2 linked regions of the Styela clava genome follow. The protein of the gene in region 2 purifies or fractionates together with the protein of the main gene of each other region. This does not show direct contact. Links are inferred from orthologs where the notes say so. Each region holds a gene or a part of one and is shown on either strand. Other genes may lie near its edges.

The links.
Region 1: the proteins of GTP-binding protein 4-like (region 2) and ribosome biogenesis protein NSA2 homolog purify together in Homo sapiens (affinity purification with mass spectrometry; 3 studies listed by BioGRID and IntAct, counting the BioPlex papers as one, with this or other methods). This does not show direct contact. The link is inferred for Styela clava from reciprocal best matches to the Homo sapiens genes GTPBP4 and NSA2.

The regions. Positions count from the first base shown.
Region 1 is NC_135263.1:3,696,920-3,704,910, reverse strand, and holds ribosome biogenesis protein NSA2 homolog, read left to right. Parts: upstream 1-5,253; 5' UTR 5,254-5,320; coding exon 5,321-6,103; 3' UTR 6,104-6,921; downstream 6,922-7,991. Other genes in the region: uncharacterized protein LOC120341273, read left to right, coding at 499-679, 1,440-1,622, 2,104-2,159; DNA-directed RNA polymerases I and III subunit RPAC1-like, read left to right, coding at 6,953-7,269. UniProt on the Homo sapiens protein: Involved in the biogenesis of the 60S ribosomal subunit. May play a part in the quality control of pre-60S particles.
Region 2 is NC_135252.1:23,061,595-23,069,471, reverse strand, and holds the start of GTP-binding protein 4-like, read right to left. Parts: upstream 3,277-7,877; 5' UTR 3,256-3,276; coding exon 3,208-3,255; intron 2,842-3,207; coding exon 2,671-2,841; intron 1,794-2,670; coding exon 1,690-1,793; intron 116-1,689; coding exon 1-115. UniProt on the Homo sapiens protein: Involved in the biogenesis of the 60S ribosomal subunit. Acts as a TP53 repressor, preventing TP53 stabilization and cell cycle arrest.

The DNA.
Region 1 (7,991 bases), on a different chromosome or scaffold from region 2:
TGTACAGTTGTACTGTTTTATTTTCGTATTGAATAGTGAATAAAAAACCGACAAAGTCATTGCGTGAATTTTGAATGTTATTTTCAGTTCAAACAATGAATCAATAAATCGGCAATAATGGCAATTCTAGTAGTCAAATAATAATTCCATAGTGAAATTTGGGAAAAATTTCGCACAATAATTTGTTATTTTGTTTGGCATTTTCAATTTTACGAAACGGTGTGGGCGCGCTTTATGCAAAACTTGGAATTGAAACAATATCCAAATACGACTCGTCAAATATGTCGTTTCTGTTTGTTAGCATAAATCGTGGCGTAAATTCGAAGGATTTGAAATTGGAATTTCTTAAAATAAATTCAGAAATAAAATCTCTGCGTGGCACACCAAAATCATTTCGCGGCACACTAATGTGCCGCGGCACGGTGGTTGGAAACCACTGATCTATACAATACCTGATTTCACAACAATTCTAATAAGTCTCTATATTACGTATTTCAGTTGCAGGTGATATTATGTGGAGTGATAACAGAACCTTGGCATTTGATCCTCGAGGAAGCACCGAGGGGTATAAGTTGGGGGCTGACCTGGGTTGTGATGTGCTCGTACACTGCTAAAATTTCTCCGCTCGGATTAGAGGCTTCAACAATGGGGATCACACAAGCTACGTTGTGGGGAATAGGTGAGGATGAAATTATTTTGTTTTGGTGTTTATTAAGTCACAGTTAAATTTAGTTTAATTTTGTCATGAAGTCAGTTCTCAATACTTCCTAAATCAGGTTTGTTTTATTTTAAACAGTGATTATTTAGGTTTTTTACTTCATTTACTACACCTGTACGGACCATCAAAGTATATATGGTATCGATATATTCAGTTTGCTGCAATAATAAGTGAATTTAGCGTTGGTTTGAATTGAAAAAGTCAAGTCCGACAATCCCAACTACATATTCCTGGGGGTACTCCCGTAGTATGTGTACCAGGTTAGGGTTAGGCCATAATTTTATTTTGATTTTCCTTATTTTAGTTCTATTACGAGTTCGGGGACTGTCTGTGTTAGCCAAGTGAATAGGCTTCCGTCCCTTCACACAACTTGATGTAAATTAGGCGAACAAAATTAGTTACCTCCATATTGGTACACTCACTTCTGGAGCGCCCTCATGGGTAATCGATGTGGCTAATTGGAGCATTTCTTTCACGAAAAAGGCGCATATGGTATTTGTTATCAATCAATCGATGCAGCATGCCTTGAAATGATTTATATTCAAGTTATGTGCGATAACTAATTTCAAATTACTTCTAAGATATATCAATATTCTGAAAAAAATAAAATTAAAAAATAAAAAAAATAAAAAAATATCAATATTCTGATTCATCGAAACACCATTTTCAGCTTATTGTATCTTCACGAGTTCAACGCTTTTTTGCTAATCTATTATTGCAGGTTACGGCGTGGGTGCTTTACTTGGAGGAATTTTCTTTCAAACGTTCGGGGGAGATAAAATGTTCTTGTTATTTGGTGCCATGAGTTTGTGTGTTTCAGTATTATTCGGAATATTTTCTTTTTGTACACGTAACAAAGACGATTCTGATGTCATAAACAAGGAAGATAGCAGTTTAAATGAAGGTATGACCTGCAGTGTGACGAAATGTATTTTTTTTGCCATTTCTAGTTCTAATTAGGTTATATAGCTTCCACGTAACTTCTAGCAGGGGGGTAGACTCGGGGTCCCTATTTTAAAATAGGATAAAGCATTTTTCTGTATAATACATAGCAATTTTTCTTAGCGTGGAACGCTTTTAGACCCTCGAGACTCTTGAAAACTCACTTGGATCCGTTAGCTGTTATGGTCTGACTTTGCAATTAGAAATTTCAGAACCCCCCTCTTCATTCGAAAATTTCCGGCTACGCCGATGTCTCCTAGTTTCTGAATTTTCTGAATTTCATATTGAAATATATGATATGTGTCGTCAGATCTGTAGCTTTTGGTCTTTTAGGGTATGACATCGCAAAAGACTTGTTCGCAGTTATGTGCGTATGAAAATATTCTTAAAAGTAGGTCACCTTACTCATTATAATATTTCTTTTATAATTTTTCATATCGAAGAAAAAGAAACTCTGAAAAATAATGAAGAAGATGTTGAAGAGAAGACGCACGTTTAATTATACTCAGGGGATGAACGTTGAAACACAAATTTTAACGAAGACGAGATATGAAAGAATTGATCAGAAACTAGCCTAGTTGTCAAGAATCAAAAATGACCTTGAATGACCCTTTGTTCTGTATCACGGTCGTACCCAGGTGGAGTTGCGGGTCGTACCCCCCTTTCTTTCTGAAATGTGAAAAAAGCATTTTTTTCTATCATACATAGTGCTTTTTCTTAGCTTGTAACGCCTTTTGGACACTCAAGACCCGGATCCGCTAGATGTTACGGTCTGACTTCGCATTTAGAATTTTCAGACCCCCCTCCCCCTTCTTTTGTAAATTCCTTGCTACGCCCCTATTCTGTTTATGTATTACTAACAGACTTGTGAGTGGCTTATACATTGCAACCAGTGGTGGGATTCAGCCGGTTTGAACCGGTTCTACAGAACCGTCTCACGAAGTTTTATGAGATCAGCGAACAGGTTAGCATTGCTGGTTACTGTCAATGACTTGTTGTAACAGAACCGGGTGAAAATATGACTTCTGTGATGGAACCGGCTGACAAAAAAATTGAATCTCACCACTGATTGCAACATGTACTAATACATGCAGATCTTCGATCAACCGATTCTTACTGCGACATGTACTAATACATGCAGATCTTCGATCAACCGATTCTTACTTCAAATTGTTTATATATATAAAACGGTCTTTGTAACGTAACTTTGTTGTTCACTGCTGATATGCAAATGTGTTCAACTGTTCGTTTTGCTTGTACAGTAGGCTACTTAGTGGCATATATTATGCTTTATTTTTTTCTGGAGTTTTGTGATCATGAACTGTGAATAGAAAAATTCATGTCTATATTCGTTGGTTTCTGATTAACGTAATATTTGTAACGACCACATCGTCTTTGATTTATATAACCTTGTGAGATCTTTTCTATCACTGTTTTAGTTTTTTTTTAGCAAAACTGCTGTGAAGTATCTTAATGCAAATATATATTGCACTGTGATACATTTTGGGGGTTGTAGTGACTTATTGGCCAGGAAGACTCTCTTGGAAATGTAGTTAAGAAGGCGCTCCAGAAGTATGTGTACCAATATGGTGGTAACTAATTTTGTTCGCCTACTTTACATCAAGTTGTGTAAACTGTAAAAGGAATGAAACCTATGGGCTAAAATAGACAGTCCCCGAAATCTCAATAAAACTAAAACAAGAGAGCTATGCTCAAATATATGGACACGTAGCGCCACCCAATGGCAATAATTTTGATGAAGTCATAGCGAAAAAAAAGTAATAGCCTTCTGGAGAAAATTTTTATCTTTAACTGAAAATTTCAAAGCAATTGGTCCAGTATTCGAAGAGAAAAGCGATTTTTTAAAAATGATGGAGACAAATAACAATTACAACATAATATTGAAACGATCGTTATGTCCACTAAACGTGTCCTATAAGGAAAATCAGAATGAAATTATGGCCTAACTTGGTACACACACTGTGGGAGTACCGTTTAGAAACCTTGAAAAAACTTTCATTGTGAGAAAAATCTTCGTCACGAGTATTGCTGGTTTGCGCTTTAGTGAGGGGGTCGTTCGGGTGGGTGTTGTTTGGCTCCAAAACAACAGAAAAGCGGCGGCAAGTTTGGCAACAATTAGCGTATATTCATAGCTTTCCAAATGTAACAGCATCAGGCAATATGTACAAACCTTTCAAAATTCGTTTCTGCTCTCGGATCAGTAAGTTAGGCGATTCAGTAAGTGCCACAAAAGTCGCAGGTGAGCTAATGATGAATCCATTTCTGAACCGCTGTTTTTATTATTCTCTCAAATAACATGCCGCATCTGACGTAATACTACTTTTCTAATTCTCTCGTTTTCTCGGCATCGAAATCAAGTCTTCTAATTTCGCTCGTTACATGAGTAGCGAGGTTTTCTTTCTCTAAAATGTCTGTTTATCATAAATTTGGCAACGACAGAACGAGGAAAGTGATCTCATCTTAAACTTGAGTGGGCAGACTTTATTGTGATTCATATATTTTTACAGCGAGTTTAGCTTTTTGCCCGCTCACTGTAGTAAACTGGTTAGCATGTGAAGTCTGAAAGTAGAATTCCAGAAGACAGGAAGATGGGATTGTCTGGCTGTTGGATAGGATATGATAAGATTTTCATATTTATCCCGAGAAGAGGAAAGTCGATAAGACAGCCTATTAATGTGATGAACTACAACCTCTCGTCCGGTTACCAGTCCATGCCGTGTACCGTATCGTATGACCTGGTACAGTGGTATGATATTAGTTAGCCAGTTATTTGTTTCAGATGCGTGGACTTTATACCGGTAATGGAGTAACCCATACCTGCATACGGTACCGTACGGTACCTTACAGACATAAGCAGGTTCTGAGTTCAGCAGTTTAAAACAGTTCAACCAATACAGTACCGTATGTGTCTTTCTCTCACTTTTTTATAATTACTGAATTGTTTGGATCATTGAATTTTTAAGATTCATTTCAAAAGGCAAACTGGCTGATTCTTAAGGATTGTCTTTTGTACAGTTATGAGGTCCAGTGTAGTTTCGTACCTCAAGTACTTCTAGTGGGCGTAACTTTGGTAACAATTTTTGCATATGTCAAACCTAGCCCACCCGACTGCGTCATCCGAAAATTATGTCACTACGACGTTACAGTGATGTAATAAGGCCCTTCAAACTATACAAACTGTCATCTAAGGTGTGCAGACGATCACCCAAACTGAGAATGCTATTCATCTCGTTTCCTCAGTGTAATGATCTTGATATGAGAGAGATCGCTGCTGTTAATGAGTCCTTTATCGTCAGCGCAGATTGGGCGATTGTTGGTATACTTATTGTCTCTGAGGCGAGAGTGTCTGGCGCGTTGGCAGATGCAACAGGATGTGCTCTGCTTGTCTTGATAATATCTCGGTTTAAATGTGTTAGTTTTCAGCTTTTATAATTACCGTACTAACACTGTCTGAACCATTCTCTATTTTGTGCTTGTCTTTAGGACATATTAGTTATTATTACTTTTGTAATGTCACTAAGGCTGCTTTGATTTTCAACTCTTTGATTATTTGCTTTAGTGTAATAAAATTATAAAAACGAACCTATTTTTCAGAAATTATTTTAAACTCAATAATTTGACTCCAATCACCACAGCAAAATGCCACAGAACGAGCATATTGAGCTTCATCGGAAGCGACATGGTTATCGTCTCGACTATCATGAAAGAAAACGAAAGAAAGAAGGGAGGGAAGCTCACACACGAGCGATTAAAGCAAAGAAACTGATTGGACTGAAAGCGAAGATGTACAACAAACAGAGACGCAATGAAAAAATAATGATGAAAAAGACGATCAAAATGCATGAAAAACGGGACACCAAGCAGAAAGATGATGAAAAGACACCAGAGGGAGCTATTCCTGCTTATCTGCTCGACAGAGAGAGCCAAAGTCGTGGAAAAGTCTTATCTAACATGATTAAGCAAAAACGTAAAGAAAAAGCGGGAAAATGGTCTGTTCCGCTCCCGAAAGTACGAGCACAAAGCGAAGCGGAAGTCTTCAGAACAATTACAACAGGGAAAAGAAAGAAAAAAGCATGGAAACGAATGTGCACAAAAGTTTGTTATGTTCCTGATAACTTTACAAGAAAACCGCCGAAATACGAAAGATTCATCAGACCAATGGCGCTTAGGTTCAAAAAAGCACATGTCACTCATCCTGAGCTGAAGGCTACATTTTGTTTACCAGTCATCGGAGTAAAAAAGAATCCGTCATCTGCTATGTACACATCTCTTGGAGTAATCACAAAAGGAACAGTCATAGAAGTTAATGTGAGCGAACTGGGATTGGTAACACAAGGGGGGAAAGTAATCTGGGGAAAATACGCCCAGGTTACAAATAATCCTGAAAACGATGGCTGCATAAACGCAGTATTACTGGTCTAGATATTGTCGTAGAGAAAAAAAAATTATCCTTGGTGTGGTATGTGGGATAATCATCAAATAAAATCATACTCCAGTACGACCCAGAAGACCCAGTCAAACCCAGAAGTCTTTTTTCAGGTAGGTCATTTAAGTAGCAGTTGGGACCAATTATCCAGTCTTTATACTGACTCTTCAATTTTGCTGGCAGATATTTTGTTTTTTGATCAAAACTTTTAGACAGCAAAAAGTGTAGAGACATATTTTGGGTGATTACTGTTAATCTTATTCTGTTGCTGGGATTTCTGCGTATTCTCCTCTCTCTGCTATATTTTGATCTGTTTTGTTGTTTCATTTACCTTGTTCTACAATCAGTGGTATATTATTTTTGAATGCGTATATTCTCGCATATAAGCCGATCGTACATACAAATCGACCCCCCCCCCCCCCCCCCCCCCCCTAAAAGGTGAATTTATAAAAATTCACATATAAGCTGACCCTACATATCATAACACGCTGTAGTTCCTCCTGCGACAGCAAATTTGAGTTGCAGCTGTTGGAATTAAGTTAGCATAATGTGAATTCGTTTGAGTGCATGTATAGGAGTTATGCGCTATGAACCGACATCTTAGTTTGGCAAATATTTTGTTTTTTGAGTTTCGAACTCAGCCTATATGCGAGGGTATTCGCCAAGTTTATTCACAGTATTTTTGAACTCAAATTGAATTATTTTCTGTTACCATTCTGCCAAAAGTTTGTGAGATATTTCAAAACTCAATACTTTTTTGACTGACTTGTTGCCTTAACATTATCAACTGCAATCTGCTTTCATTTAAATTAGATTGTAGATACTTGCTATAGCTATAAATAACCATGGCTCACATTGACGATATGCGGACTAGAGTCACCATGGGGGAACATGGAGTATTAAATGTCCACACAACTGATTTCCCAGGGAGTTACGTCGGCTACGATGACGCATGGAGCCGCGAAAAGTTCATGAAAAACTTTCGGATTAATATTTTGAAATGTGACGAAGATGAAATGACTTTTGATATGATTGGGATTGACGCTGCCATAGCGAATGCATTTCGAAGGATTCTCCTGGCTGAAGTCCCAACGATGGCGTTCGAGAAAGCGTTTATTTACAACAACACCAGTATAATACAGGATGAAGTGCTTGCTCATAGGTAATTCATGAATTTTTAATGACTTTGAATTAAAAAGGGATTTTTCACATTTATCAATGAGAAGAGGAAAGTTGATAAAATTATTTTAACCACTACCTTGAGTTCAGAAGTACAATTTATGTTTAATTTTTCTAGCCATTTAAACTCGATTTCACACAAATTACAAGATAAAGAGAAAGTACACCTACCTAGGTACTTGTCATAACCATGATCAGGGGCGCAGCCAGGGGGGAGGTTACATGGGTCGTAACCCCCCCTTTGGAATCTTTTTTTTTTTTTAATAGTGTTACGTTTACTTGCAATAATTTTATTCTTTGCGTTATCACTTTCGCCCAGCGTCCTAATTTATTATTTATGTTTACGATTCGTATTCGCTGTTACGCGGCAGTGGATCTAGTTGCCAGCGGGGGGTCACGGAAGTGACAATCTACACTAAACATTTTTAGATACAATTGTACTACCTTTCACTTGACACAAATAGCAACGGACGTATCACACTATTGCCGTCAAAACTATTCCACAAGCGCGCTCTCGCCTCGCCACATTCAACGCATCCATACTTTTAATCACATACGTTATCAATGGTTATCGGCTTATCGCTAATTACGAATTTTAGTTATGTAGTGCATCTTTAACAAGCGATGGCACCAGGATCATAAGCAAATAACAGACAAAATGGATTATTGGAAATGTATGGTTCATTAACAAAGGATTGCCAAATG
Region 2 (7,877 bases):
TTGTTTTTGTCGTTTCATTATTGTGCACATCCTACCAAGCGCTGCTCTTTTCAGTTGTTTGCATCGATATAATGAATCGCCATATTTCATTAGTCGACCGTAATCACGACCAACACTGTAATATTGAATAATATAGTGATTGATACCAGAGCTAAGATCTAAAGCCCGAGCTGACCCGAAATTCAGGGCCGGTTTGGGCCTGAAATGTCAATCATTACGTTCTGGTCGGGTTCGGTGGGGCTACTCTATCGCCGACTTTTTTTTTAAAATGAGGCGTTTCGGCCGTGTTGTGGCTACGAGAAATCGTGGTCTGCAAAAAACAGAAGTTGCCTCATCAACACGACACATACTTTACAAAACTCTTGCGATGACAATTCAATGAAATCCTAAATAAAATATGAAATTTTGGGTTTGCTTCGGGCTCGGGCCTGCAAATCCAGTTAATTAGTCGAGTTCGGGTCGGGCTGAAATTTTTGGGCCAGATCTTACCTCTAATAACTACGTATGAATAGTGTCATGTGGTAGGCACAGTGGACCAAAGTTGGCTGATCGGGGCCAAAATTGGAAGGTATAAAGGATATTCGAGGGCCAAAAGAGTGGAGCACCTGCAAGGGCCCGATGCTGGTATGTATAAATAGGATACAGGTATAATTGAACATGCCAAAACTGTCATATTGATTATTGACCTAACAATTGGCCAATGGCGGTATCTAAAACGAAAAAAGAAAAAACAAAGTTTTGAACTATTTTGAAATGAATCAAATATTCGAATACATTCAAATTGTGTTAATTTTATGAACAATATTTGTGTGTTACGAAAGTAGAAAACAATAAGCCTCGTGTCAAAACTAAATTTAATCGCAATATCAACAAATTTCGTGAACTATTTTTGAGTGAAACAATATAAAAATTTGGTTTTAGTTCGGTTGTGGTAGCATCAGGCAGGCCAGATTGAATAACCCACCAGGCCGGATTTGACACGAGGGCCGCCGGAGTTTGTCCAGTGTCCACAAGTGCAGTTTTAAGCACCTTGTGGCGTCTGAAGATGCCGCAAAACCATTGCAAGATTTCCAAACCATGGCCGCTAAGGTCAGGCCAGGGCAGCTGACTTTTTAGCTGCCACAGTCCCCGAACGAAGGGCGTGAGGTGGTGTATCACAACAGAAAATTGAAAACCATGGTTGGTAAAATTGTGTGAACCCAGGGATGTAGGCTGTAATGGCGGGACTGCCCCTGATGATGACACACTTTGGGTAAGTTAGAACATTTTCCGGTGCTCTCGAAGTATGCGAACCAAGATGGCGGACATCGGAACGTAACATGGGTAACAGGTTAGGGTTAGGCGATAATTTTTTTCCAATTTTCCTTATTTTAGTCCAATTATCAGTTCGAAGACTAGCCAAGAGCCTCCCGTATTATTTATACCTAAAATTATGGCCTAACCCTAACCTAGTACACATATTACATTCCGATGTCCGCCATCTTGGTTCGCATACTTCGGGAGCCCCCATTTTCCGTATGGATACAGTTTTTGATTAATTTGAGGTATGGCTAGGTTTAAGTAAATATAGAGTAATAGCGCCATAAAACCATGGCGAAAAACGCCGCGGTTTGTTTTGGCGGGAGCTGCCATGAAGTGGTAAGAATTGCGCCTCAATGTCCATGTCAGTTTTAGAGCCAACGTTCTTACTTGTCAATAAGATGTTTGGCAGTGTTGATTTGTCCGAGAGCAAGTTTGTAATGGTCCTTGTCATAGAGAACGTTCATTAGATCTGCATAAAATGGATGGACATCCTGAAAAAAAAAATTAAGAGATGAATAAAGGTAATATTTAGTCTGTATCAACTTTGCAGTTGCCACAAGGATGCTTAAATGGGATAGTATTAAAATGATAAATGAGAATACCATAATCCAGAGACGGGCGATTACTTTTTTGAGTGGACCATTTACAGATAACAGACTTGGTCACTGGGCAGGACACTCAAAACTCAACATGGACCTATAAAAAAATGTTATTTACAAATAAAAACCTATGAAAAAAAAGTTTATTTACAAATACCAAACAACAAGCGAAGCAAGTGGCGCCTTATATTTAGGTGCAGATAATACATTGGAATTACAGTCTATATTTTAGCCGATGATTCGTTATTTTTTTCGAAACTTTTAACGCAAAATTATATACGATATCTATAAAAACTTTTGACAAATTTTGGGTTATGTTGAACCAGTTAAAAAGATCAACCAAAGCATTTAATCAAAAATTATACTAGTTGGAAATGAAGCGTGTTTCAAAATATACTTCTATTCTGCTCTGAATAACATCCTGAAATTAATTATATTCAATATTTTAAATTCTAGATTTTAAGAATAGCTTGGGCGCTCCAAAAGTATGTGTACTAATATGAAGGTAACTAATTTTTTTCGCCTACTTCACATCAAGTTGTGCGAAGGGACTGAAACCTATTGGCAGGGGATATTCACTTTGCTAACACAGATTTTTCCTGAATTCGTAAGGAGAATCGGAACCTAACCTGGTACTTATACTACGGTGCCATAGCTTGAATAATTCTATCAAAAAATAATCATTCTGAGCGAAGCGTCTTAAAATAATGAATCACTCAATTTTATCCATCCCTGTATCAATATTCAAAATTAATAATAATAAAAATACCTCAAGTTTAGGAAACTCTGTAAGAATCAGACTCAATCTATCATGGTAGTTCTGTTGAGTGTATCGAACTTTCCGTAAATAAAACGCTCGTATTCTGGAGATCGGATAACTTTTATGAACTACAGTTGGAGTTTTTCTCTGTGTCTTTGATAATGTGATGTCAATGAAGTCCTGTGAAAATAAGTAAGGAAAGATTAGTAAAGAAATTGAGAATGAGTTTAGCTTGAGAGTACAGAGTAACCTAAAAATGATCCAATGTCATTTAGAAACTATTCTGTAGAGAACGTAACTTTTGTGCAAAGTGTCATGCACAAACAGAAGTTCCAGTGTTCCAAAGAATCCAATGGTGAAGTTTTTAGATTGCTCTTACTTTCAGTTTATTGCGCAAAACTGGTTTGCCGATTTATGCCGCTATGGAGGCCTATACTGTCATGTAAAGAGGGAGTTTGCTCTCACTATTATAATTAATTAATGTCTTTCAATGCGAGGGTTATTCTTGAAATATCATACTGAACTATTCCCATATTCTATACTTACTTTCGATGATGGCACCACTGTGATCTTTTTGAAATTATACAGAGCCATTTTTAATTTTATGCTGAAAAAAACAAAGAAATTGTATTACATGCTTCATAGAGACAATATGCCTAAGGCAGAGTAGACTATATTTGGCTAAACGCTAAAACTGTGAAATGAGCGTCTCTTTCCGTACCATCATAAGACATGTAAAAGGTTTTTGCGTTCTTGGCAAAAAGTGCAAAAACATAACAGAATACCGTACGGGTAGGTAGTTTTGCAGTGACAAATTGAATAGGATTAAAATAGGTTTTACATACCTATCCCGGGGGGAAGGAAAGTATAAGACGGCCTAACCATATGGCGAACCACGGCCTCGTGTCCGATTCCCATTCCATGTCTGGTATGGGATTAGTTAGTTATTTGACAAATTGTTTTTTAGAAGCATGGACTTCAGGACTGGTGGAGGAAGCCCTAATCGATCAGCGGTTACGTGAACCCCCAACGACGGCGAGGAGTCCAGCAATCCTCTCACACATAACCGTCCATGCATGGAATTTGAACCTGCAAACCCGCGCAGAGTAATCAGAGGTCTGGCGAGCGTATTTCTAACGCTTAGCATAATGGAGTCTCATGTTGTTTCGTACCTAACATACTTCTAGAGGGCGTAGCATAACAATTTTTTCATGTTTCGATCCTAACCCCCACATGCTGACATGACTACACAATCCAAAAATTATGTCACTATGACGTAATAGCTGAATAGAGCTCTTCAAACTATACGAATTGTCATTCAAAGCACGCAGACGAGCACCCGAAATCAAACAGCTATTTCTCTTGTTTTCTCGTCGCGACGATCTCAATATGAGAGAGCTCGATGACGTTAGTTCTCTATCGTCGGCAACGATGCTATTTCGGGTGATCGTACGTATATTTGGCAAGCTCTATGACGTGCTTGTGATGTTGTAGTCTACTGACGTAAGCTTTGGACGGCCAGATTTCAGATTGGGGTTAGGATTGACATATTAAAAAATGGTCATGCTACGCCCACTAGAAGTGAGTTAGGTACAAAACTACAAGAGAATTGTATGATGAGCCACACTGCCGCTACTAACCAACATCAAATTATATTCCAGGAATAGGCCGTGGTACAGTCAGACAGTGGTAAGATTGACCATGGTAAGATTGTTGACCGAAAAAAACGTCGGCACTGGTAACTGGGCTAAGTCGTACCTACCGGTAACGTTAAGTCATTTTAGCATTCAGGCCAGACTGCCAGAAGTACGGTAGACTGTAAGTATACCAGTAAGTATATTTCGATTTTTCCGCAAAAAAAATCATACACAAAACACAAACAATGAACACACATTGACACAGAAGATTGGGAAAATCGGGGAAACCTTTATAAAGGTTTAACACAAGTAAATATACATGCGCCAGTTTACCCACAGCACACAAACAACTATTCAAAATAAAAAGACAAAACTTGTGTAACATAAACACTCGGTGGGTCTCAATTAATAAGGCTGAAAAGTAGCCAGATAGGCCAGTAAGGAATGGCTGAATTTAGATTCCCGTTCACGATGAAAAACTTATATCTGTTCACACTCGGATACACTAAGCTCACTCAATTTCCAGTTTTCGAAAATATAGAAATAGCATAGCAAAACCTGAAACTCGGGCCTAAAAACCTAACACGCGGAACACAGATCGCCGAATCGATTGCGTAATCAGTACCTATTCATGTGTGACATTGTGGAATTTAGGATGGGAATGTAGATCTCATCATGGGATCTACATTTATCCCGATGGAGTGGAAAGCCGATAAAAAGACGAAATCATATAATATAGCTAAAGTGTTTTTTAACTTTATTTTAAGTGATGCTCGCCTTTTAGGTATCTCTACATTTCGTTTGTCTGTCTACTTTTTGTGCCGTTTTGTTTTTATGTCAGAGTAGCCTACTGAAATAGGGTAGGATAGGAGGGGATTTACATATTTATCCCGGGGAGAAAAAAGCCGATAAGACGGCTTAATTATAGGACGAACCACGGCCTCTCGTCCGGTTACCAGTCCAGGTCGACTATGGGATTAGTTAGCCAGTTATTTGTTTTCGGAAGCATGGACTTGATGGTGGAGGAAGCCGGTTAATGTAAATGTAAATAAATGATTGATTGATCGAGCGAAGCATGGCCTATCGTCCTGTTACTAGTCCATGTCGAATATGTAAGCAGTTGGCCAGATGTTTGTTCTCGGAAGCATGGACTTGATGGTGGGGGAGATCGTAACCGATAGAGCGGCGGAGAGTCCAGCAATTAATCCTCTCGCACATAATTACCCTACGTGGATTCGAACCTGCGAACCCACGTAGGGTAATTAGAGGTGCGGTGGCGAAGCGTGTTTTTCTTACGCAGGGTTTCCTAACCCGAGTCCGCGGTCTCAAATGAGTCCGCGAAGCGTTTGAATGAGTCCGCAACGAGCCAGAAATTCACTGCTGGTCGCAAACGTCTTTGCGAAACTAACTATCAGACAAGTTACGATTTACATTAGAATTTACATAAAACATAAATGTCAAGTTTATTCACATAACATTTCGAGTCAATAATTACTGGTTAATGAGTATATTCAACTATTAGTACCAGGTGACGAAAACACCTTCCAACGTAAACACGAGTCTGCTCACGCTTCGATAGAGTTCGCGAGTTGGAACAACGAGGAATCATTCTTTTTTGGTAGGTGTCAATGGTGGCAACGCAAATTTTCTAAATTGAAAAGCGGCAATACAAAACACTAAAAATAAAACGGATAACACCATCAGTTTTGTTTTATGATTATCCGCGACCGATTAAAAACGCTTTTTTGAACATTGCAAATCGCCAAATTTCGGGTGCTACCGTGGTATACGTACCAGGGCATTTACCTCAGGATTCTTTGCCTTAGTCTCCACATTGGTACATACAGTACTGGAGCGCCGTAAGTGTTGTACGACCTACGAACAGCTCAGATTTGTCGAATTCACAAAAATACAAATCAAAACAAAATATAATCGGGCACTTTACCATATTAATATTTTCTGATTAGTATTGTTTTTATTTCGTCAACACAATTGCATATTAAAATCATCACAATTAACTTAATAGTAAAGCAAGGTGATGAATATGTATTTTTGATTTACTAATAAACTTTAAATATAATTTAAGTGCTAAATCAAGTTGTACTATCTGGAACTTTACAGCAGAAAGTATAATTTTTCTAACGGCGATAACAAATTCGCGAGATCGCAAAAACTACGTATCAAAACTAAATATAATCGGGCAATATATTCTCACATTATTATGTTCGCAGATTGCCGTGGCATTTTAAAGAAGTAATGTTTTCATCTTGTCGTAAGTCGACGCAACGGCGAGTTACCACCATGAACACAATAAATTAGAATAGAAAGACATTTTAAATTCTCGTCGTCGTCATGGACTGAATATTGTGCGACAGAAACCGCCATTACACACTAAAAAGTCGGCTCTTTTAACGAACGCGTAAATGCGCGAATTTCCGAATTTTATGTTATGTTCGGTTTTATTGCTTCTTCACAAAGAGTACGGTTGCAATAAATGCTCCTTAAGTTCGCAAAGGTTTTCGCCAGTGAGAAAACAGTCCGCGACCAAGAAAGGCTGGGAAACGCTGTTCTAACGCTTAGCACGATGCACACATTTCAGATGCATGGACTCGTTTCGGGTTTACGACAGCGGGGTGGACTCGTTTCGGGTTTACATAGGATGATATTTTCATATTTATCTCGCGGAAAGGAGGCCAGGGTAAGACAGCTTCGTTACGTGTTCGATAGATAACATATTCAATAATGAAATGAGGAGAACGAATTGTAAAACATACGTTTGCATCTAGCGTTATTTTAATTGAAAAAAAATTGAAAGGTTTACCGCCATTTGTATCAAATTTCCGCTAATTTCTATATATTGTCTTATTCAAGTGAAATATAATTTCAATGTTAGTGAATGGCACAATAAAATTATCGGCAACATACAATACAATAATTAAAATTGCTTCGAAACATCTTGACAATACTGAATACATCTGAAAAACACTTTCAAAATAATTGAATAGAAGAATAAAATTATCGGCAATACAATGAACATGTCTCAACAGAATTGAATAGGACGGATTCCGGTTCTGCATATGCTAGACTATAGTCTAGACCAGACATGAGCAAAGTACAGCCCGCGGGCCAAATCCGGCCCGTTGGGTAATTCAATAGGGCCGCCTGATGCTGCCACAACCAAACTAAAACCAAATTTCGAAATAGCTCAAGGAATTTGTTGAGATCGCGATCCAATTGAGTTTTGTCACGAGGCTCATTATTTTTTACTTATTAAGTACTTACTTACCTAAGTTTTACTTAAGTATGGTCTTGTGTATACATCCCGTCTTCAATGTTGATATTCACTAACTCCTGTGTTTTTGCTTTTACGAGACGAATAAACATACATACATACAAACACTGTAAATATTTTTCGTAACGTGTAACTTTTACGTCACACTTACATGGCCAGCCAGTCTAGGTGGCCCCTGGTCCAAAAACCGTGAAATTTCCGCTTTTTGTTGTTTTTATGTCCTGGCGTTAAAATACACGTGAAAGCGCATGCAAATTTTTAGACGTTCTAAATGAAAAGCATTATCA